Linked DNA regions of Diceros bicornis minor. The protein of the gene in region 2 interacts with the protein of the main gene of each other region in a biochemical or structural test. Links are inferred from orthologs where the notes say so. Each region holds a gene or a part of one and is shown on either strand. Other genes may lie near its edges. The genes, in order: CD58, CD2 and CD2BP2.

Region 1 (7,907 bases), about 170 kb from region 2:
AAGAAGGTAGTACCCAGAATCTAATCACGAGGAAACCGACAATTCAAACAGAGGGACATTTTATAAAACGACGGGTCCAGACCCTTCAAATGTGGCGATGTCAAAAAGTACAAAGCAAAACAAACAAGTTGGCGACAGTTTTAGATGAAAGGAGATTAAGAGGCAGGACTACCAAATGCAGTGTGTGATCTGGGATTGGCTTCTGGTCTCTGTTAGAAAATAGTTTTGTAACAATGCTCTATTTCCTGACTGTGCTGATGGCTCTGTGGCTTACGGGAGACTTATTCTTAGAAGAGACAAGTTGAAATATTTAGGGGTAAGGCCTCATAAAGGCTGCAACTCTCAAATGGTTTAGCAAAAAAAAAAAGAAATTTTAAGTGTGTGTGTATAAAGAGGAAGAAGTAAACCAAATATGACAAAATGTTAATAACTGGTGATTCCAGGAGAAAAGCATGTAAGTGTTCATTGTACTATTTTGCAACTATTCTAAAGATTTTATATGTTCCAAAGTTTTTAAAAAATTCAAAAGAAATATGAACCACTTCCACTCACCTTTCCTCTGCTTTACTAATCTCTTTATTAGTAAATGTTTTCTTTACCACCACCCACCATCTTTATATTTCCTCATTTATTTATTTACCATCTCTCTCCCCCACTGTAATGTAAGCTTCACAGAGGCCAGGAAGAGTGTTCCTGGTATCCCCAGGCCCTCGTACAGTGCCCGACACAGAGCTGACACTCAGTAAGTATCTGCTGAATGCCTGATGTTCACAATCATTCCATGAAGTAGATACTATTTTATCCTTTCATGTGAGTGGTATACTCTCTCTTCAAAGGCAAAGATACCGAGGCACACAGAAGTTAAGTAATTTATAGAAGTTCGTAACCCAGGCGAGGGGCAGGGCCAGGGTCTGAAGTCAGGCATCTGACTTGAGCTGATGCTGCTTATCACGGTGTCAGGCAGCTTCCTAGTGAAGCACGCTCGGCCCCCAAAGGGCTCACCTTCTACAGGCCTGCGCCATTCATTCAGCCTTGTCCTTAGTGCAAGGCCTATTCAGAGCAGGTGATATTCATGCTTGCTGAATGAAATGACTTCTGAATAAATACATGAACAGGTGGGAGAGACCAGTATGAGGGGACTGTTCAGACAATCTTCCTGGAGGAGGAAGGGCTGGATGGCTAAACTGGGTTTTCGGGGGAAGAGAGAGCACAGATACAGGCAGCAGTGACAACAGGTACGTTCCAGGACCAGGGGGAGACCAGCTCATCTGGAGGAGGGTGACCCCATCCATTCAGGCTCTGCATGTGTCTCTCCTCCTTTCCCACAGCCAACGGTACATGAAAGCCTCACAGCTCTTTGGGCCCTGTGATGGTAGTCTGCCCTGACCTCTCTGCTTCCAATTCCTCTCCCTCTTCACTGCTGCCAGATTACCCTTCCTAATGCATGGCTCTGATCCTGTCAGGCCCAGAAACAGCTCTCCTTTGCCTATAGAAGAGAATCCAAACTCCCAAAGGGGACATTCAGGGCTCCGCCACGGGGCCTCAAGTTCCCGTGGGCACATTACCCTTCAGTGACACCGAAGGACTCCCTACTGCCCAGATTCACCCTGCACACTGTTGCTCCCCTGTCTTTCTGACCTGGTCTCCTCCTCTTGGAATCTTTTCCCATGTCATGGCACATCCACATACCCTCGGAGGCTGGGTTCAAATACCCTTCCTTCTGTAAAGTCTTTGCTTCACAAGATATTTGATTTCATCCAAAGGTATTGCTTTCTTCCCTCTGCAGGCCCCTAGCACTTCGTTTAAGCCCTCTTACAACACTTACTCCTGGGCATTACAAGGGAGGTATTTTTGAGCATATCTCAACTCCTCCCCCCAGGCTGTGCTCCATAGATGTATGTACCCCATAGGCACTCAATAAACGCTGAATGCAGCATGGAGAGGGAAGATGGATCTGGTAGCACCCGATCAAAAAGGGGCCCAATGGGAAACCCGCACAGAAAGGAGAACCAGTTAACGGGGTTATTGCTATGTCCCAGGGGTTTGGCTATGACTTAACTAGGGGCCTGTGTGTGGAGGGGCTTATGCGGGTAAGGAGGTAAAAATGGAGACTAAGATACCTATATTTCATGGGGCTGTTGTGACGATTTAGCTGAAGAACTGTGAAAGGGATGGCCGCAGTTCTAGACACACAAGTTAGTTCTTTTGCGTTTTGAAGGGAGGGGCAAGGAGCACCGGCCGCACTACTGAGGAATCCCAAGTGAGGCCATCACCGACTCTAGACCCTTCTCTCCCTCTCCTCTCCCCCTCCCGCGCGCGGGTGGAAATCCCTGGCTTTGGGACTGGCACTCCCGGCGGGGGAGGGCGGAGTGCTGGCGACCAGCCGCATCCTTCGGGCGGCGAGAACCGGTCCCCAGCCCCCGTGCCGGGCGAGTTCCCAGGCCCGGGAGGCAGTGATAAGGCCCGCCCGCCGGGGGCCCGACAAGTAACTTAGCAGTCACTTGAGTCTCAGAGAAGAGGCACACCCTTCCGGAGAACACTGGGTGGGGGGTGAGCGGGGATCGGGGTGGGGAGGGGGGTTAGCAGGGATCCCCAGAGAGAGAAAACAGCGCCGGAGAGGTGAACGAGCTGGAGCCCCGTGCCTCTTCCACCCAAACAGGATTCAAGCGCCTGGGCTCAAAGTTTCTTCTCGACTGCCCACGGGAGACTTGCTGAGGAAATGACAACTTTCTCTCCCCAAGGGCCCGCTGGCTGCGTTTCTACTGCCACCCAACCCAACTTGCAATCGCCTTCAGCCCAGCCGGCCCACGCGGCCCCGGAGCCCTGGGGTCACGGTCGCACCCAGCGCTGCCCGTCCCTGCGGGGGGCCCGGGGAAGGCCTCCACTCACCGAAACAGAAGACCAGGCAGACCACGGCGAGGACCCCCGCGGCCCACCCCGGGGCGCTCCCTGCGGCCATCGCGTGTCGGGCCATCTCTGCGCCCGGGGCCCCCGCCTGGCGCAGCCGCAGTTCCGGGCACTGGCCTCGCCCGCCGCGGAGTGTGGGCCCGGCGCCCGCCCCGCCCTGCGCCCACGGCCGCCTTGGTCCGCCCCTCAGCGGCCAGTCCCGCCCCGCACCCGCCCCGGCCCTTCCTCTTTCCCCGGGACGCCGCTGGTCCCGCGTCTTCGTGCTCTTTCTCCCCAAAATGCCGGCTGTCCCCCTGCCCGGTCCCTCCTGTCACCCCGCCGCCCCCCTGTGTGCTCGGTGGGGCTCTCCTTGAAAAGTGCTTGCGTTTTTAAAACCTCGTTTCTCTTAGTTCCTCCCGCACTGTTCCACGGAGCCTCCGAAGCCCTTTATTCCTCCAGCGCTTTCCAGCAGCCGCAGCGGCGCGGAGCGTGCCTTTTCAGCCATGGGGACCCTGGACTAGACAGTCTCTTTGAACCACTCTTTCCTCAAGTATTAAAACGACGGGAAACGGGACGTTTTAGACAACTGCTAGAATGTGTGGGATTACCTGGGGTAATCGGCGCCCCTCAAGCGCTTGTCTTTCCTCATTCGAGTGCATGCCCGCTTTTCCTTAAGCCTCACCCGCCCCCGCCCCTCCCTCAACCCGGAGCTGGAATTTTCAGCCTGTGATTTCTCCCATCTCGGTTTCCTTTCTGTTTTCCTTTTCTTCCCTCTCAACTGTGGACTTTCCCTCAGGCTGAGGAGTCAAGTCTGTTCGCTCCCTCACTGTTTTTTGCCTCCCAAGATCTCTCTGCCCAAGCTGCAGCAGACACTTGGAACTCTCCATCCTAGAGGTTAGTCTTCTTGATTGGCTTGCCCTTCCCACAAATCCATGGGATCCCAGACCAAATTGCTCCCAGAACCAGCTCTTCACTCACAGCAGCCTCCCTGTCTGCCTCTTTCAGAGAGAAGCACCAGAATTGCCCCTGCCCAGCTGTGTGCTTAAGGAAACTTAGTTATCACGTGACTGTCTTCCAATGAGCAGGACTCCCTGCTATCCTAATAAACACCAGCATGAAACCAAGTGGAAATGTGCTTTATTGTTGCTGTCATCTCCATCACCCCGACCACTCAAGACATTTGAACCATGCTGTAAGAATTCATGAGTTATTTCTTAAATTGGCCATAAAATCTTAAAAGGAATCTCAGTGAAATTTCTGGGACCAATGTCCTGTACCATGAAGCCCGCTACCTTAAGACATTCCCTGTCATCTACAGATATTGGGAACACAGGCAGGTGCAGTGTGTAGGGCAAAATGTGAGAAAATCAAGTTTCTCCTCTGCCCTGGGCTGGTAGGAACTCCGGTCAACTTGGAAAGGAAGGATGGATGGGGTCAGATCTTTAGACACTGGGAGCCCCTGAACGGTTTTGAACTGGGAAGTGACATAACAGCAAATATCTGTCGAGCACTTACTATGAGCCAGGCCCTGCGTTAAGTGCATTAACTGGATTAATTTAATCTTATTGTCCCAATTTTTACAGATGAGGAAACTTAGGCTCAGAGAAGGTAAATGACTTGCCCAAGGACACACAGTAAGAGGCAGAACTGGGAGTCCAACCAAGGCCAAGTCCAAAGCACCACTCTTACCTTTTGCACACTAGCAGGATGCAACTTTTGGGTCGGCAGCCATGCTGCTGTCTGGACTGGCCGACAGCAGCTGTCAACCCGGTCCAGAGCAGGGCTGAGGAGAGGACTGCCCAGTCCCCTGTGACTGGGAAGTACCACCCAGTTCATGGTCCCCAGGCATTGGGTGAGGAATGGTTCATTAGGTCTTTCTTGCCTGGATGCTTCTCTGACCAGCAAGCAGTGGCAGCGTTCTTATTAAGAAAAATGCCGTGGGGCCGGCCCCGTGGCTTAGCAGTTAAGTGCGCGCGCTCCGCTACTGGCGGCCCAGGTTCAGATCCCGGGCGCGCACCGACGCACCGTGCTCCGGCCATGCTGAGGCTGCGTCCCACATACAGCAACTAGAAGGCATACAGCAACTAGAAGGATGTGCAACTACGACGTACAACTATCTACTGGGGCTTTGGGGGAAAAAAAAACGAGGAGGATTGGCAATAGATGTTAGCTCAGAGCCGGTTTTCCTCAGCAAAAAGAGGAGGATTAGCATGGATGTTAGCTCAGGGCTGATCTTCCTCACAAAAAAAAAAAAAAAAAAAAGCTGTGCTTCCATCAGGCATTTTTAGACATGCTTATATGCCTGGTCTAGCAGACTTCATGAATCAAAAGTGGCTCAGAAAGGCTAGACCTGCAATGCGTTAGGCAGACGGCTGAAAGTTTCCTTTCATATACTGAGAACTTGCCACCAAAAGGAGAGCTGGACCTGTTTTTCATCCTGTGACCGGTATTGAGAGGGCCCCTTTCATCTGCTTGTCACTGTAGAGAATCCTGGACTGGCAGATAAGAAGGAAGGGCTCAGTCAGCCTGCTCATGTGGTCTGGGGCTGCCACTCTTCCGGGTGTGTCAGTGTCTGCTCTCTTGGTCTACTTCTTGCCATCCTTGGAATCACCTCCAGGAAGCTTAGGAATCCCAGCACAGAGAGAGCAACACATTGCTCCTAATCCTGCATACATGAAAATTATCCTTGCCTCATGTGGAAGTGGACATTCACTTCATTTATATCAACACCGGGCAGATTTGCTCCAAGGGCATAGAAGGGTAATCTTATTCCATAATACTCTATTTCCCTTTTTTGAATGTTCCCTGGCAGAAAGAAAGCATTTGGAAAAAATTAGGCAAAAATAATACATAAGACTTAACATGCTACCATTCTGGGTACCCAAGGGATAAACAGTCATATCAACCCTTGGCCAAACCAGCAGCTGCAAGAAGAATGCAGCAAATGGGGCTGATAAGCAGAAGAAAACACACAGTCAAGCCTTTGAAAGGCTTGAGTTTTAAAAAGGAAGCAAAAGAAAAGGGAGCACCTCCCTCTGCTTTTTACCCTCTATCTAGTTCCCTTTGCATATTCTTCTGTGAATTTTAAGGAATTACAGATGGGTTCTGACTAATGATGTCTCACTGCTAGGGCTTTAATTATTCTATCATTCTTCTCACTTTGCCGGCGTAGTGAACTCCTCCAAAACATGCCAGCGTTTGAGTTGTGCGGCCTCACAGAATAGGAATGCACAGGTCCTGCTTTTTCCTTCATTCTGGAAAATACTTGCCGAATATTTCACAGGGTGGGGGCAATACTACATAGTTTGAGAAAGATGGTGTGGTCTTCCTGCCGAGACCAAGGAGAAAGTTGTCCTATGTTCCTGCTCTCCTTCTTCATCCGTCTCCTCTCATCCCATCCTGCCCAGCCCCCTCCCCCAAAAAGCTAGAGGTTATAACCTCTACCTTCTGAAGCTGCCTATCAGGCCTCCAGGTGGGTTGTGTGTTACATAATTTGAGGGGCAGCAATGCGTTAACGGTCAGGGTAGGTGTGTTCATTTATTATGATACATTTTCAGCAGATGGCAGTAAAGTGTCTTGAGTAAGGGATGTTTTTTATTATTTGTACAAAGGCACCATTTAGGCTGGGGGTGGGGCATGATAATAAAGGCTGCAACTCATGAACCTTGAGCCCAGCAGGCCAATATCAGGGGCAGAACTCCAGGCCTCCGGGGCACAGTTCCCCCGAGGAGAGTGGCTGATGACGTAAGGAGAAAGGAAGACACTGGACTCCAGTAAATGTGAACAGCCATATTTTCAACATAATTTACTACAGGTCTCTGAAGTGTATATAAAACATTTTAGTGCAACATCTTACAAATAGTTTTCCTTAAAAAAAACCAACAAAAACAAATCAACAGCTCTCTACATCATGCATGGGTAGTTTTCTTACCCCATCTCTTTTTTCTCTCCAACAAGTAACGCAGAGAAACCATTATTTGTAAAGAATATGAAAACTTGCTACAGAAACACCCTGGTGAAAGAGGGTGTGGTCATATCCATGTCCTGGAATGGGCCTCGCACAGTGTAGTTTTTCATTAATGCAACATGGTAGATGTCGATAAGTCAAGAGAGCAGTCAGCAGTTTTCCGCTCCTTGTCTCAGAGTACTAAAGCTCCGGGAGGCGATTGCGATGAGGTCTTGCAGCCACCAGACGGCACCATTACCATTCATCTGACACCACATTTCCATAGAAATGGCCAAAGAAAGGTCCTGGGGATTTTCATTGAAAGTTGGAAAAGCTCCCCCTAGGACGGTAACCCCCAGCCCAACAGAAAAAGCAATTATTAAAATACTGGCTTCGGTTTCTTTTTTCCTTTCAAATTTCCCACAAATTCTTCACATATTTAATTATGTGCAGTACCTACTTTTCTATAGCTTCAAACTCAAATCTTAGTTACACATCCCAGTCCCAGCCAGCCCTCCGGCATCTTTCCATTCAGACAGAGGAAGTAAGTCATCTTCCCTCATTGACTCAGTCCATCAATTAGGCGTCAGCAATTTCCCACTGAAAGTCCAAACCCCAGAAATGAAGAAATGGGGCAAAAGACTGCCTTCTCTCCTCACCACCAAGCTGGCTGATTCTGTACCTCTAAAGCACTGTTGCAGCATAATAAATGAGAATGAGCATGGCAACAGCGGGACTAAGGTTGGTGCCACCACACCGTCTCATGAGAGTACGTACACCTATCAACAAACGGCTGAGCAATCGCCTTGCTTCCCCTCAGCTGTGGTGCACAACCATCTGCTGAGCACCGAGGCCACCTGCACACCTGCAGACGCCGACAAGGAGCAGCGCCCACACGGCCTGGGGAACCCCACAGCCTCCCCCGCAGTCTGTTCTGCATCAGAACAGAGTTTTGCAGCAATCTCTCCAGTGAGACTTAGTTCCAGAACGCCTGGTGGCTTTTTCCAAATTGAGAACTCCCTTGGGATTCAAGAGGCAGGTTCATAGAGGAAGGGAGATGACACTCTTGACCAGC
Region 2 (7,169 bases):
AGTATGATGTGCTACACACACACTTGGCTCCCTCCACATTTCTCACTTGAGCTTGTTGGAAGGTGTAAGGAGGGCACAGTGGAGGCACCAGAGAGGAGATGGATGTTACGTAGGAAAGAGAGACTGGACTTAGTGATTCTTAAGCCGAGGGTGCTCGCAAGGTGTAGGAGGCAAAGATGACCCTGACCCTCAGTAGGAAGCAGACGATGTCCCAGAGTTTGGAGCACGGGTCCTAGAGGCTGGAGATTAGGTTGCTGACTTGGATGAAGGGAGTAGGCACACCCCAGAACTTCCCTGGGCTCAGGACTCTCAACTGAAATGTGGAGAGGAGACCAGATCGCTTCCTGAGTTTCTTTCTGCTCTAAAGTCCCACAATTCAAGACATTCAGTTGGGTGTGAACTGCCACAGTGTTAACACAACCCAATCCTCGCTCATGCTTTATGTGGATACGGAGAGCAGGAGGTGGGAGTCAGGGCTGAAGGTGTTTCACTAGTCAGGGAGTAGGAGTTGGTCCTAAAGCAAGGCTTCTGAGAATCTTGTCTTCTTCTCCCCCTCCTCTGCTTCTTACTTTCTTCCCTTTAGTCTATTTCCCCAAGAGTGTTAGTTTGGGTAAGAAAAAGTCAATTACGATAGAGCCAGAGACAACCCCTAGACTGCAATGTGGATGGTGAGGGAGAAACCGGAGTGAGTCATCCACCGGATTTTCCCCGGAACCTCAACACATGCGGGCAGAGGCTGCACCCACCCTCAGTCCGGGGAGCTTTTGCCTAAGTGGGAGGCCCACTTAGAATCAAAAAGAAATCAATTGGAAAGCAATACATGCTCAATTTAAAAATATTAGAATAGCAACAACAACCAAAGACAATAGAACGATAGCCATTATCCCACCACGCCAAGACCCTGGTGGACATCCTTCCAAGAGATGCACACCCAACACGCACTTTTGGAGAAACAAAAGCAGTCCTGTACTGTTTATTGTGACCTTTTTTTCCATATTCAGTTTGTCATATCATGATTTACTTAACCAATTTCCTCCTCTTGTACATTTAAATTGTTCCCAATTTTAACTTATAAAAAAGACTACAGTATATAAACTTATAGCCAAGTCTTATAAGTCCCTTATTATTTCCTTAGGATAAAATCATTGTTGTGGACTTGTTAGGTCAAAATATAAATATTTTTGATGCTTCTGATTCACACTGACAAATTGTCCATCAGAAACTCTACACCTATTTGCTTTTCTACTGGCTGTATGCAAGAATGTCTGTTTTCACCACCATTAACACCGTATATTTTCATTTTTTAAATGAAAGTTGAAAAATACATGTATGTTAAAATTTACATTTCTTTCTTTGTTAATAAATTGACTGTGTTTTCATAGGCTTGTTGTTTAACTGTATCTCTTCTTTTATAAATTGTCCCTTTTACGACCTTGACCCATTTTAATATCAAGGGACGTATCTTTTCTTTCTATGTTTACAAGAAAAATTTAATTTTAAGGATATTAATCTTTGTCATATATCTTGTAAATAATGTGCCCCTTTGCACACTCTGTCTTTTAATTTTTTTTTTTTTTTGGATTTTTACATAGAAGAGTTTTAAATTTTACATAGATCCATCGATCTCTTTCTTTTTGCGATTTCTGCCCTTGAAGCCGTGCTCATCACTCAGAATTGAATGAGATGTGAGAGGAGCAGAATTAATGTTTCAAAAAGAAGAACAGAGAGCTGCTCTCCACCTGATAGGAAAAGCTTGCGGGAAAGTGGGAAGAAGAGGGAGAAACTTCCCTTAAAAGCTGAGGCAGGTTACATGATGGTCTTCACCACATCACCTGCACCAGGCCTTGCGAGCCTGGGTCGGACAGTTGGCTAGTGAGTTAGCCACTTACAAGCAGGGAAACTAGATGCTAACTGTTTGTCAGGATCTGCATATACTTAAGCGTTCCTTGTTTTAAAAAAACACAAAAACCTTTCATTATAAAGATAATGTGTTCCTTACCAAAATTTCTAACTTCACAGAAGTTGATAAAATAAAAAGTGAAAGTTTCCTTTCAGTTTTCTCGAAGTCTAAGTTCTGAAAGGAGAGCACTGTTAAAGTTCGGCAAGAATCCTTCCAGACGTTTTTCTACACATGCACTAATAATATAATGTAATGTAATGTAATGTAATGTAATATAATATAATATAATATGACATAATATAATGTAATATTATTATATTCTTACTCTTGAGTCTGCTTCATTCTATTTTAACTGTTATACAATATTTCATAATATGAATATACCATAATTTTAGTTGTTTGCAAATTTTTATTACAAAAAAATGCTACAACAAATGTCCTTGAACAGAATTTTTGCTAATTTATGCAAATATTTGCATAAAATAAATTTCTGAAAATAAAATTAATAGATCAAAAATATATATATTTTAAAGTTTGGTGGAAATGGCCAAATTCTTCCCCCCCAGAGGTCTGGAGTTACACTCATACTGTATGAAGGTGCCTGTTTCTTCCTATATTCTTGTCAATAATGTAAATTATTATCTTTTCTAATTTTGCCAATCTGATGGTGAAAATGGTATTTTATGGCTGTAATATATATATTTTTGGTGACATTAGAGGTCTTCTCATATGTTTACTGATACTTCTTCTATAGAGTATTTCTTTTATAAACTGCTCATTTATATCCTTTGCCCATTTTAAAAACTGAGTTTTCTTTTTCTTATTCATTTACAGGAATACTTTATATATCTTGAATATTAGTAATTTTTCAGGTATACTTCAAATATTTTCTGTCATATCTTTTCATTTTGTTCATTATCTCTTTGCCTATACATAAATGTTACATTTTTATGTACTCAATTGTGTCCATCTTTTCTTTCTTACTTTTGGATCATATTGTATATGTAGGTAGGCCTTCTGTACTCAAAGATATGAAAATATCTTTCTATATTGTTTTTTAGCACTATTATAGATTTTTTAACATTTAAAAATTTAATCCAACCGTAGTTTATTTTTATGGATGATATGATTTAGGGATTTCTCACACAATCATAATGCAAATATTCGGGCTTCCTTTTACCCAATGGTTGAGATCCATTGCTTTGACTTAATTTCATTTCCTGGGCAACTTCCTGAGAGAGAATATCCATATTTGTACCTAAAGTTGAAACAGAAAACAAGCACCGTTTTTAAGATTTTTACTCTATCCTTAAGAATCATAAAACTGGAAATCTACTTTGGAAATCTGTCCTTGAGTGTCCCTTTTTTCTGTGACTGGATCTCTCTGTGCATCTTTTTCTGTGTGTGTGCATCAATACATCACTCTGTTTCTCTCCCCGTATCACGAATTTCTTTTCTCTTTCTCTCCCAGTTCTCTCGCACTTCGGTTTTTCTCCTTATTGCTTCTTTCCTTAACCATCTATCGTGTTAACCATCTTAAATGTTTTTTGAATGATTTGTTCTGGTTGTTTAATAGTATTTCATAGTCTTTACGCATTTTTGTTTGCTCTGGAACAAGTTTTTATTTACCTAACTGTGAATTTCAATAGAGTTGTAAAATGTATGCTAAACATAAGATTTGGAGATTTCAAGTATTTACAGCTGACAATTTATATTTCTTTTTATCATAAAAACAATTTTAGAATATTAAAAACACCTTTTGAGATAGAGAAAAAATCCATTTTCATAATTATTTCATATGTATACATTTTTCAATATTTGTAATCATAGGATAACTGTTTGTATTCTGCGATTCACTCATGAATGTTTACCTATATTTCTCTGTGGTCTTGTTAGAGGCATTATAGCTGAATGGATATAAGATGGGCTGTATGGTTGAATCTGGCTCCTTGTTAACCGTAGGGTGATCCCAAGTGATTTACTTAGCCTCTCAGTTTCTCATCTCTTCGGTGGGGATAACAAAACCCACCCAAGTTTGTTGTGAGGATTAAAACGTGATAAGAAAACACACACTCATAAATATATCTGCGTTGGCAAAGGTGCACATCAGCAGGATCATTTTGCTGAGTGTGTGTGTGTGTGTGTGTGTGCGCGCGCACGTGTGTGTGCTTTCTATGCTACCATAAAAGAAGCAAAAAAAAGAGGCACGTGGTTAAGCTGTCAGGGGGTGGATTCCGCCAGTCTTATTTCAATTCCTTTTGCAAGAAGAGCTCAGAATCACCAAGGAAACTAACCCCAAAGATGAACCTCACATGTAAAATCCTAGCCAGCTTCCTTTTGATTTGCTTCTTCTCCTCCAAAGGTAAGTTGGTGTGTGGGCCTCCATTGCTACCCTTAGAAGCTTCTTTGGAGACCCTGAAGTGAGCATAAGAGTCAAGGAAGTCACAGCCCAGCTTTCCCTGGCAGTGAGTCTCAAGACCTCATAACTGTCTTGCTTTTTATAGGTGCAGTCTCTGGAAAGAATATCATCATCTGGGGTGCTCTGGATCATGATATCAACCTGGACATTCCTGATTTTCCAAGGAATAATGCTATAGATGATATACTATGGAAAAAAGGCAAAACCAAGATTGCGCAACGCAAATACGACAGGACATTTTACCAGAATAATGAAACATATGAGATATTTAAAAATGGAACTCTGAAAATTAAACACCTGGAGAGCATTCATAACGATACCTACCAGGTACTCATATATGATACAAAAGGAAAATATGTGTTGGACAAAACATTTGATTTGAGGATTCTAGGTAAGTCTTTGTTCTCTAAATTTCTCCATCTCAGTATGGGTGCTATTTAGCAGGTTGGGAAATAGCATTTACGGAATGTCCCCAGCCCTGACCTCAGCCTCACGGGAGTCCTAAAGGAAAATGAATGCATCCCTCCTGCCTCAGTGGAGGCGCCAGTCCTGTAGGAGAGATGGAATCCACACATGCGGAAATACACAGTTGATAGATCCTCAAGTCTATCTACCTAAACCTCTCTCTCCAGTGGTTACGGGGTTATGGGGCTGAGTGAAAAACCTGGATTATGACGGCATTAATCAGGAGGAGGGGAACAGGTGGGCAGAAGATAAAGATGGCCATTCCAGGTGGATGATGAAGGGGCGAGCTAGAAGTGGGCCAGGGAAGGGGTGGCTGACTGGAGAGCGGTGGGTCTTCAATCTAGAGAGACAATTTCAAGCCAGGATGCCCTGAAGGAGTAGTTATATGGCAGGAAAGGCTGGAAATAATGAATTTAAGCATGAACAGGCTTTGTTTCTGATCTGCTCAACATCAGAGTGATAAAAGGTGAAAGATGATTTTCGCTGATATTTGTAGAAAATACGCAAGGTGTGGCTTTGTACACCTATGAATGTACCAGGAAGGCAAGAGTGGATATTGAAGATGGAGGCAAGAAGACTAGCCAGGAAGTTCTGCTATAGTCCGAGTGAAGTGGGGAGGGGCTGGTTCATGATTCTTAACCCTGGTTGCATGTTAGAATCAACTGAGATGCTATTAAAAGTTACCGGCGCCCAGGTCCCATTCCAGACCAATTGAATCAGAATTTTTAGCGTGGGACCTGGGCACCAGTAGGTTTTAAAGTTCCCCAGGTGATTCTAATGAGCAACCAAAGCTGGTAATCACTGGCTTAGTCGAAAGGGTGCCTGTAAAATGAGGAAGAGTGAATATTCTGAGGGTCATATGTGGAGAAGGGACATTCAAGATGGCTTGGGAGCAGGAGAGAGGAAAGAGAAAGTGGAACTGAAAGGACTTGGAAGTTACAAGTCCAGGAGACAATGGCAGTGGATGATAAGAAGTGAGAAGAGGAAGCTGCACTAGGTTTGTAGAGAAAGAAGGAAGCCCAGCGTGAGCACAAGCCAGAGACTCAGTGAGCAAATAAACATGTCTGTGCTTCACACAGGAAATGTTGCCGGAGGCAGGGCCCCCTCCCACCTAGTTCTCAGCACGCGGACCTGGCAGCAGCCCCTCTCCAACAATCCCAGACATTGTTAGCTCCCTTGCAGATGATAACTTTCCATACCCTAACCTGCAACCTTGAAGGGAGAGTACCTTCCACAAATGGGGTGGGGCTGAGAATGGAGCCAGAAGAGTCCTCTGATTATGGGCTCTGGGCCCCACAGCTCTCAGGACTCCTGCCAACGTGGGCTCGAGTGCTGTGTTTTGAACATGAGCCTCATGTTTGTGTCTCCTTTAGTGTGGTAGTAAGGATAATGGGTACCAGCTAGAGGTCAGAAGCTTTGCTCACATGATCTTATTCAAGGCTCCCAACGATCCTGAGAGGTAGTTGTTATTATCCCCTTATTATCTATAAGGAAATTATCTCTAAGGAAACTCAAGCGACCTGTCCAAAGTCTCACCATTTGACAGGAGCAAAGTCAGAACCCAAGTCCAGGGCTTCTGTTAGCAAGGATGATGACTTCCCCCTCCCCCCAAAAAAGCTTTATTGAGATACAACTCACATACCATAAAATTCACCCATTTAAAATGTACAATTCAATGGCTTTTAGTATATTCACAGAGTTGTGCAACCATCACCACAATCAATTTTAGAACATTTTCAGCACCCCCAAAATAAACCCCACACTCGTTGGCCAAAAGACAGAGATCTTTCCATGACATCACAGCCACCTAGCTCTGTGTGTGTGTGTGTGTGTGTGTGTGTGTGTGTATGTCAGTGTCACAAAGCATCGTATCTCAATTTGCGGTCCGCCATTACTTGCCACACGGCCTTGGGCAAATTCCCTATCTGCTCTGAGGTTGATTTTCATAATAATAACTCCATGGGATATTCAGCAAGACAGGGCTTCAAGGAGACAACTAAGGAAAGGTGGCCTGCAGCTCCTGGGTCACAATACCTGTTCGCTCAGTGATAATGCCCTCCCCCATCTCCTTGTTTTTCCAAGCCTTTCACGGCTTCAGTCTTGATACCCACATCTCCCTTTTTTGTTTGTTTGTTTATTGCAGTAACATTGGTTTATAACATTGTATAAATTTCAGGTGTACATCATTATACTTATATTTCTGCATAGATTACATCATGTTCACCACCCATATACCAATTACAACCCATCACCACACACATGTGCCGAATTATCCCTTTCGCCCTCCTCCCTCCCCCCTTCCCCTCTGGTAACCACCAACCCAATCTCTGTCTCTAAGTGTTTGTTTCTTGTTGTTATTATCTACTACTTAATGAAGGAAATCAT
Region 3 (8,086 bases), on a different chromosome or scaffold from region 2:
GGTGCCAACACTGAGTATGCACTTCACCTAAAGAGCTAGAGACAGTGGGGTGGCAGTGAGTACCAGGCTTCCTGCTTACCCCCAACATATGTCGCAGCCCTTCCTGGCCTAAAATCTCCACTTCTGGGGCTCTATCCTGTACTGGCTGCAAGGAAAGAGACTGTGAAGTACTAAAAACCAAAGCCCTAAGAACAGCAAAACAGAAACCCCCAGAGGATATCGGACAACATTGTGCAAGTTGAAGGATTTTTCGATGGTGAGCAGAGTCCAGGTGGAGAGGCCACAGGCCACCTGATAGCCCTGGCTCTGCCCATAGGAGTGGTAAACAACGGCGAAGTGGTTCAAAGGAAGAGAAACTCCCAAGAAAGAACTTCATGAGGACACACTCAAGGACAGAGGCGAGGGGCTGTGGAGAAGGTCCTGGCTTTTGGCCATCAGCACAGCGAAGGCCCTAATACACAACTAAAGACTTTTATTAGGAAAGGAAAATTAACTGAAAAGTGGCCCCCAATATCCTCACTGCCTGGGGCAGCTGGGGCATCCTCCTCAGAGTCCAGGAAAGAAGGGGCCACCAAACTGGGCCCTCAGCAGGCTCAAGTGTAGAGATCAAAGTCAATACGTTTGGAGTTGTAGAACTGTCCACCTGGGGGGTCCAGCTTCCGGCAATAAACACCATCCGGGAAGTAGCCTTCATTCACCCAGGTCTGCAAGAAGAGAGAGTAGAGCTGGGAACGAACTGATGGGGTAGGAGGAGGGAGAGAAGCAGCAGAACGAAGTAGAAAGGGGTTTACCTGCATCTGGGTGCTGGTGAAGGGCCCGTACAGCTCAGCATCCCCTGTGTTCTCCCACTTATACTCCCACATCACATCCACCAGACCGTCGCCAGGCGACTCTGCTTCTAAAATAACAGGCAAAGCCAGTTGGGCCTCAAGTGCTCTGCCCCTGCCCACAACACCCTTCCTCTGCCCTTCAATCTCACCTCCTCTCTGGGCAGCAGTTGGGGTCTCCAGCTCTTCCTCTGCCACTTCCTCAGCAAACATGTCCAGAGAGGGTGGGGGTGTGGGGTCAGGAGGTCCCTGGGTCTGGCACCCCAATCCCTTCAGCCGCATGGCCAACCGTTCCCTTGTTTCCTGATATACGCCAAGGTTGCCCCGGGCCACCATCTGGTCAGCCAACCCAGAGAGCCGGTCCAGGCGCTGGGGGGAACTGGGCCGCCCAGGCCCCTTGCTGCCCCCTTTGCTTCCTCCTCGGGCCCCTAGACGCCTCAGTGCCCCAGCCACTGTCTCCCTTGGCAACAGCAGCTCCAAAAGGCCCTCTAGGAGGGCTTGGGCACTCATTGGTGTCTGGCCCAGGCTGTCCTCTTCCTCCGAGTCTGACAGTGGGCGCTGATCAGGTGGCCGCTCCCTGATCTTCACCTGTAATATGAAAATAGTAAGGGTTATTTGCTGAAAGCTGCCAGCAGGGCCGAAGCCCAGCACTTGCTGCCTCCAGGCCCCAGCCATGCCAGTCCCTGGGCCACACCCAGTCAATGTTGTCCAGCCAGCTATCTCGGATCTGAGCATCCCGGTTCAGGAAGTAGTTGCCATCAGCATCAAAGTGGCCTTCCTCCATCTCCTCCTGCAGGTTGAAGGGTGTAATCCGCACACCTCCCTCACTGGGTAGTGTGGCTGCTTCTTGACCTGCACCAAAGACACAAGTGTCTCATGCTAGGCATGCGAAAAAGAGGAGCCCCCTGCCACACATCGCCCCAAACCCCTATTTGTTCCTACAGCAGAAAGTCAACTCTTGGGTATAGCTCACCTTCCACATCCTCTGAGGCCAGGATGTCATATTTGCTGGATCCCTCATCATCATCATCCTCCTCATCACTGTCCAAAGAGTGTTTGCCTTTGAAGCGGCTCCCAGGACCCCCTGCCCCAGCCACAGGGTCCACCAGCTGTGAGCAAGAGCCAGCGAGTCGAGAGATGCAGGTTACTGGCTATTCCTCAAGATACTCTAGCATCTGAACTCAAAATGATAATCCTCCAAGCCCATTTCCCAGAGAACATCGAAAAGCTAGCTTTTTCTACCCTTTCTTTGTTCCTCCAGGTTTTTCCTCTTCTGACTTCGTTTCTTTTTTCTCCCCTACCTCCTCCCCAGAACGCAGGAGTCTGTGCCCCTCACCTTCTTCTTAGGGACACCGATTTCATCTTCATCATCCTCATCTCCGACGCCTTGGAAGGTCACTTTCCTCTTTGGCATGACTGGACAGAGGGGCGGTCCCCAAGCTGAGCCGAGGGAAACGGTGCAGATTAAGGGAACTGGGCAAGGATACTCACAGCGAGAGGGCCCCCAGCACAACGAATATACGTACTAGATCCAGTTTGAGAGGGGAGGGAGCACAGAATCGGGGGCCGAAAGGGGAGTTGGCAGCGAGGCGGCCCCCAGGAGTTGGTTTGGCATCAGAAAGAGTTGCTGGGGCGGGGACGGAGAAGTGGACGCGCGCAGAAGCTCCCTATGGACGCCCCCACCCTTGACGAAAAGAGACAGGCTCCCCTAAGTGAACGCCCTCATTCCCGGCCCCCGCAGCCCTGGGCGCGACGGGGCTCCGCGGGCTGACACCCGCTTCTCCACCTCCAGCTCCCCCAGAGCCCACGAGGCCCCGGCGGACGCAAGACCTGGCACCCTGGTCGCCCCGCCCCTCCCCATGCCGAACTCCCAACTCCGCGGGGTGACTCCCAGCTGTCCCGGCCTGTGTGTACAAATAAGGGAGCCGGCAGAGCCACGGGGTTTCGAACAGTTTCACCAGTGCGCGCTCACCTAAGGATCCAGGGTAGGCGGGGGAAGAAAAGGATAGATGCCTTCACCAGGGCTACATCCGGGGCACCCGCCGACATCGCCCGGAAGAGAACTGCGGAAGTCGCCAGGGAAAGCCGGAAGTGGCTTCACTCGGGTTAGAGGACTAACTGGAAGAGCGGGCGGAAGTACGGAATGAGCGGGGGGCGGAGACACCTCCCTCCCGGAAGTGACGTGAACCGTGTGGGGCGACGGAGGCGAGAAGAGGAGACGTATGAACGCCTAAACCCTCATCGGACGAGAGGAATGGCCGGAAGTAGCTTCCATTCCCTAGTACAGCAGTAGAGGCTCTGGAGTGAAAGTGGGACGCACTCTACTTAAAGTGGCGCCCCGGGTCACGATGGAAGGGCAAAGTCCCAGCAGGGCCAGTGGGTTACTGCTCTAGTTTCCCCCAGCGCTGGCCAAGGTCTCTACGCCCCTCACCATCTCATCAGAAATCCTGTCTTCCCGCTCTCAGCGTCGTTGTCTACCCTGTCCTAGTCCCAAGTGCAGCCTTGCTGTTCTCCCTAAGGGGAAGCCCGGCTTTCCTGATGCCCGGCTGGAAGCCTCTGACGGCCCTTGGGGCACTTGCTGAAACCAGCTCCCTTTAGGACCCAGGGGAAGTCATTTACCCCGCACCTACCCCCTGGGCGAATTCCTGGTTCTGATGGGAAGAGCCATCACAGGATAGGTGGCAGTGACACCTGTGCCCAGTACCCAGGCCAGAAGCCCCTTGTGCCCTGACCTCAGGTAGGCCTGGAAAAGGGCAGCAGTGCCTCTTTCTCTTGCACCAAAGCCGCAGAGTAAATCCCCCTGCTTAGCAAACAGGGCCCCAGCCCTGCATCCCCTGCCCAGGTTATCTGGCACAAGGGGCAGAGCTGGGGTTGGGAGGTGGGAGAAGCGGATCCCAGTGCTCTGGGGACAATACCTCCAGCTCTTGAGGATACTCAGAGTCTGAATCCCACTAGGCTAAAGCTGTGCCCAGGAAGAGCCCACTGGAGCCAAAGGAAGGCAGCATGGGGTCCCCAGGGTAACGCGACAGACCCTCCACTCCTCTCTCCTGCTCCCAGGGTTTCCTCCCAGATTGGACTACCATGAAACTGCACCAAAAGTCTGTGCTCAGTTTCTTCCGTGGGTACAGAGCACAGGCTCCAGATCAAGAGCATCTTGCTAAAGAGGGGGGCCCAAAATACCAGCTACCAGGGCCGCTGGTTCATCCTCCGGGGAAACCTCTTTTACCTGGAGCACCAGGCAGACCGCACACCTCTGGGCCTCATCCTGTTGGAGAACTGCCAAGTGGAGCCACAGAATCCTATGACTTCACCATGCTGACTCCCAGGGTAGAGGACACAGAAGGTGGGCGGGCCTACAAGCTGGCAGCAGAAAACGAGAAGGAACTGGGAGCCTGGCTGTGGGCGCTGGCTGGAGTGAGCTGGAGGTGGCTGTCTGTGCTGCTACCCACACGGGAGGCCCAGTACCAGGAGCTGTGCCAGGCTGCTGGCCAAGAGCCCAGCTCACCCCTAGAGGACTGTGGCTTTCTAGCTACCCTCAGTTCCCCCTCCAGCTTCCAGGAGTTGCATGAGCGCTTCTGGAAGGAGATCTGGGCACTGCAGGTAGTGCATAGAGGACTCCAGGAGGCCAGTGACAATGAAGGCAGCAGATCCCAGGCAAAGGTGGAGCAGGAGCTCAACCACTGTTTGTTGATGAGTGACTGAGAGATGGATCAAAGGCCAAGAGGTACCCACCTGCAAAGACCAGCCAACTGCTTCAATAGACACCCAGATTCTGGCTTGCTCTGTCCCTCCCTAGTCCTTATTCTAAACCCCTCCATCAAATAACAAAGCAGGAGACAGGCCCAGGTACAACAGCAGGTTCTTTTCTGGTTCCTCAAAGCGCCACACTGGGTGGGAGCAGAGACAGAAGAGAATGTAAACATTGGATTCTACCCCCTGGAGCTCAAGGGAAGACCCCTTACCCAGATAAGAGGCTGGACGATTGGAAGGGAATAAGGTGAAAGATGGGGGTCCTGGTGAGACAAAGCAGGGGAGGCCTGAGAATACAGAGGAGGGTGGGTGAAGAGAAAGGAGAGCAAGGACGGCGGTGGGTAGGAAGTGGGGGACATTTCCTGTTCCAGTGCATGTCCCCTTAAATAAACCAGAGTGCAGGAGAACTCAAGGACAGAAGATAGAGCAAGCACCCCCACCCTGGGCCAACCAGGTCCTCTGTACATAATTACAACACAGAGATGTCCAGAAGTAGAGTGAGGAGAGCCTCGGCCCCCAGCCAGGAAGTGGGGGCGACAGGCAGGACTGAAGAAGGGAGAAAGGAACCCAGCTCCACTTCACGGGTAAGGGGAGCAACTGGAGTGTAAGAATCTGAAAACTGCTGACTCCCATTGCCAAGAGTCACCCTGTGGTGACAAAAGGCCGATCAGGACAGCACCTGGGAAGGGACCCCAGAGGGAATTGGGGCAGGAGTGACAGAGACCCCAGCTGGGCCTAACTGGAGGTGAGGGGCCCCAGACTTGCTCACGGCTGCCCCAGGGAAATGCAGCTGCCCCGTGCACTCCAACTGTCCTGGCTGTGCAGGGATCAGCAGCTAGCAAGGGGATGGGGAATCAAGCCACTTTCCTCAGAAAGAGGGACAACTGGCCTGCTCTTGGCTGAGGGAAAAAGAGGGGGGCCATGCAGTCCAGCCCCAGGGCAGAGGTCAAAAGTAAGCATCCTGCCGGGCCTCAGATGCCGAGGACCTGTCCCCACCATCCTGGGGAGCGGGGGGACCATCTGCCTTTCGACGCAGCGAAAGCTTCCTGCCTTGGGCCTTCTTCTCCTGCTTCTGCCGCTCCTTCTCCTGCTTCTGCTGCTCCTTCTCCTGCTTCTGCCGCTCCTTCTCCTGCTTCTGCTGCTCCTTCTCCTGCTCTTTTTCCCACTTCTGCCGCTCCTTCTCCTGCTTCTCCCGCTCTTTCTCCTGTTTCTGCCGCTCCTTCTCACGTTCCTTTTCCTGTTTCTGCCGCTCCTTCTCCTGCCTCCGGGTCTCCTTGCTGGGACCCAGTGGGGTGCTGTTGCCAGTAGGCGAAGGAAGGGAGGGATGCAGTCCCTCAGCAGTGACCACAGGCCCTGGGGCAGGCCCAGCACTGGCCCTGCGGGCAGGAGGAGGTGGGGAGGGGGGCCCTCCAGTTGCCCGGGAGCCACGGCTCTTGAGGCCAGGGAGGCTGAGGAGGCTGGATGAGGGGCCGAGGGGTGGCTGCTGCCTCCGGCGCTCCTCGTGGATGGCCCGGGAGCCATGCAGTCGCCGTGAAGGTCGATACTGCAGCTCCCCCCGGGTCTCCCGCCACTTCTTGAGCTGGGCTGCGTTCTCTCGCTCAATCAGTGCCTCTGTCACCGGGAGGTTGGTCACCTAGACCGAGAAGAAATGAGTACCAGAATGAAGACGAGGGTGGGGATGGGCTGAAGCAGGTGTGGGGTTTGCTAAGGCCAAGACCTACCTCATGCACCAGGAAGTCCTCCTGCATGCACTGTTGGGGCAGGTTGCGCAGCTGCTCCATGGTTTCATACATGCCTTGGCAGGAGCGCAGCTTCTCCACCGAGCCCAGTGTGTGCCGCAGCAGCACCAGGGCCACCCGGAAGATGATCTTGACGCCTGCAGGGTCAGAAAGAAGAGAGCATATGTGATCAGGCGTGGGATCCCAGCCCGTCCCACATAGAAGGGACTGATAGCCCCCATCCCTGTCTACTGCCAACCTTACAGATGAGGAAACTGAGGCCCCAAGAAGGGAAATGAGCTGCCATGGGTTTCAGGGTCCTGAGGGAGAGCAGGCTCTGGGTTGGTGGCAGAGCCAAGACGAAGCCTCAGTTTCTCCAGCCCCCAGCTGGCTTACAGTGAAGCCAAGGCCCAACAGTGTTAGTGGGCCACCCTCTGGCAGCCACCATGGAAACTCTAGCCCCCTCATGGCCTGAATGGCTACAGAAGTACCTTCACAGAAGAACATATCCCAGACACGCAGCACTGAAGCCCAGGGCAGGGTGCGGGCGAAGATGCACATGAACCATTCTGTCATGTAGAGCACGGGGTCAATGCGCTGCCGCCGCAGGTGCCGATGTGCCAGAGGGGAGGCCCGGCGCAATAGTGCAAAAAAGATTTCTCCGTCTAGCTGAATGGCCTCCTGGAAGTGGGATGAGCCATGAAAAGAGGCCTGCTGTAGCCCCCTTGGGGTAGAAATGGCCCTGGTACAGGATCCTCACCTCAGCGGGAAAGGCCCAGAGGAGAGGGACAGAAGGACACAGGATGGGGCAGGACAAGGACCTCCCTGCAGCCTTGGTTAAAAGTCACAGCCCCGGTTGCACCCAGACTCCAGACACTTACCAGCCCTGCACTGTAGTAACCGGGGAGGTACTTGTCGCAGATCTGCACCAGACACCAAAAGGCTTGCTGAAAAGGGCAAGAACAAGGAGGAATGGATGGGGCCTGAGAAATGGAGCAGAGAGCTCCCCCATCACCACTGCAGGCCAAGATCCTCCCAGCCCCTCTCCAACCAGGACCAGCATATGCTGACCTCAGCAGGCATGTGCATGAGCAGCACTGCAGCCACTGGGGCCTGGGCCTGGCAGTAGCCCTCGTCAGGCCGGTAGATGGTGTAGGCCTTCAGGATTCGATACAGGTCCTGTTGCCTGTGGGTATTGGAAAAGACCATGAGGGCAATCACAGGAGTTGGGAGCTCTCTGACCCAAAGTAAACCTGCACCCTACCCCCCAGCCCCAGCCAAGACCCCTCCTAGATCCAGTTCCAGATTAACCTCAGAGCTTTAGCACCACACACCTCCATCTACCTTCCTAGTTCTGCCTATCGAGCTTAAGCCAAAGACTCAGACCATAGTCAAAGCATTCCAGGCTCCAGCCTTCCACCCTTGCCTGCATACTCTGCGTGCTCCCTACCCATTCCCTAGGACAGGCTGTGTTCTCTCTCCCTCCTTCATCTGCCACCATCCCATAAACCTTCAAGGTCATCTTCTCCAGGCACTGTCTGAATGCTTTTATCACCCCAGAAGAGGAGCCCTCCCAGGGCAGGGCCTGCCTTATCTGTCTCACTGGATGTCGTCAATTCCCCACCAGCATGTCCAATGGGCCCTGGTTCCTGGTGAAGGCTTGGGAAGCCAGCTGTGCCTCAGACCCTTCTCTTGTCTCTGCATCCAAAAGAATAAAATCTCTGCCCTATACCTGCTCCTCTTCCTTGAGGGTGCCCCATCACTGTGTCTGGAAATTCCATCCACTCAGCC

What was found.
Region 1: the proteins of CD2 (region 2) and CD58 form a complex in vitro, tested with the Homo sapiens proteins (3 studies listed by BioGRID and IntAct, with this or other methods). The link is inferred for Diceros bicornis minor from reciprocal best matches to the Homo sapiens genes CD2 and CD58.
Region 3: the proteins of CD2 (region 2) and CD2BP2 interact in a biophysical measurement, tested with the Homo sapiens proteins (6 studies listed by BioGRID and IntAct, with this or other methods). The link is inferred for Diceros bicornis minor from reciprocal best matches to the Homo sapiens genes CD2 and CD2BP2.

What each region holds. Positions count from the first base shown.
Region 1 is NC_080743.1:48,969,307-48,977,213, forward strand, and holds the start of CD58 (lymphocyte function-associated antigen 3), read right to left. Parts: upstream 3,014-7,907; 5' UTR 2,975-3,013; coding exon 2,890-2,974; intron 1-2,889. UniProt on the Homo sapiens protein: Ligand of the T-lymphocyte CD2 glycoprotein.
Region 2 is NC_080743.1:49,135,844-49,143,012, forward strand, and holds the start of CD2 (T-cell surface antigen CD2), read left to right. Parts: upstream 1-4,141; 5' UTR 4,142-4,201; coding exon 4,202-4,262; intron 4,263-4,404; coding exon 4,405-4,710; intron 4,711-7,169. UniProt on the Homo sapiens protein: CD2 interacts with lymphocyte function-associated antigen CD58 (LFA-3) and CD48/BCM1 to mediate adhesion between T-cells and other cell types. CD2 is implicated in the triggering of T-cells, the cytoplasmic domain is implicated in the signaling function.
Region 3 is NC_080765.1:21,531,227-21,539,312, reverse strand, and holds CD2BP2 (CD2 antigen cytoplasmic tail-binding protein 2), read right to left. Parts: upstream 3,092-8,086; 5' UTR 2,800-3,091; intron 2,505-2,799; exon of another isoform or gene 2,354-2,504; intron 2,268-2,353; 5' UTR 2,242-2,267; coding exon 2,164-2,241; intron 1,937-2,163; coding exon 1,801-1,936; intron 1,680-1,800; coding exon 1,522-1,679; intron 1,416-1,521; coding exon 980-1,415; intron 899-979; coding exon 792-898; intron 705-791; coding exon 594-704; 3' UTR 456-593; downstream 1-455. Other genes in the region: TBC1D10B (TBC1 domain family member 10B), read right to left, coding at 5,524-6,210, 6,299-6,453, 6,787-6,976, 7,177-7,242, 7,367-7,481. UniProt on the Homo sapiens protein: Involved in pre-mRNA splicing as component of the U5 snRNP complex that is involved in spliceosome assembly.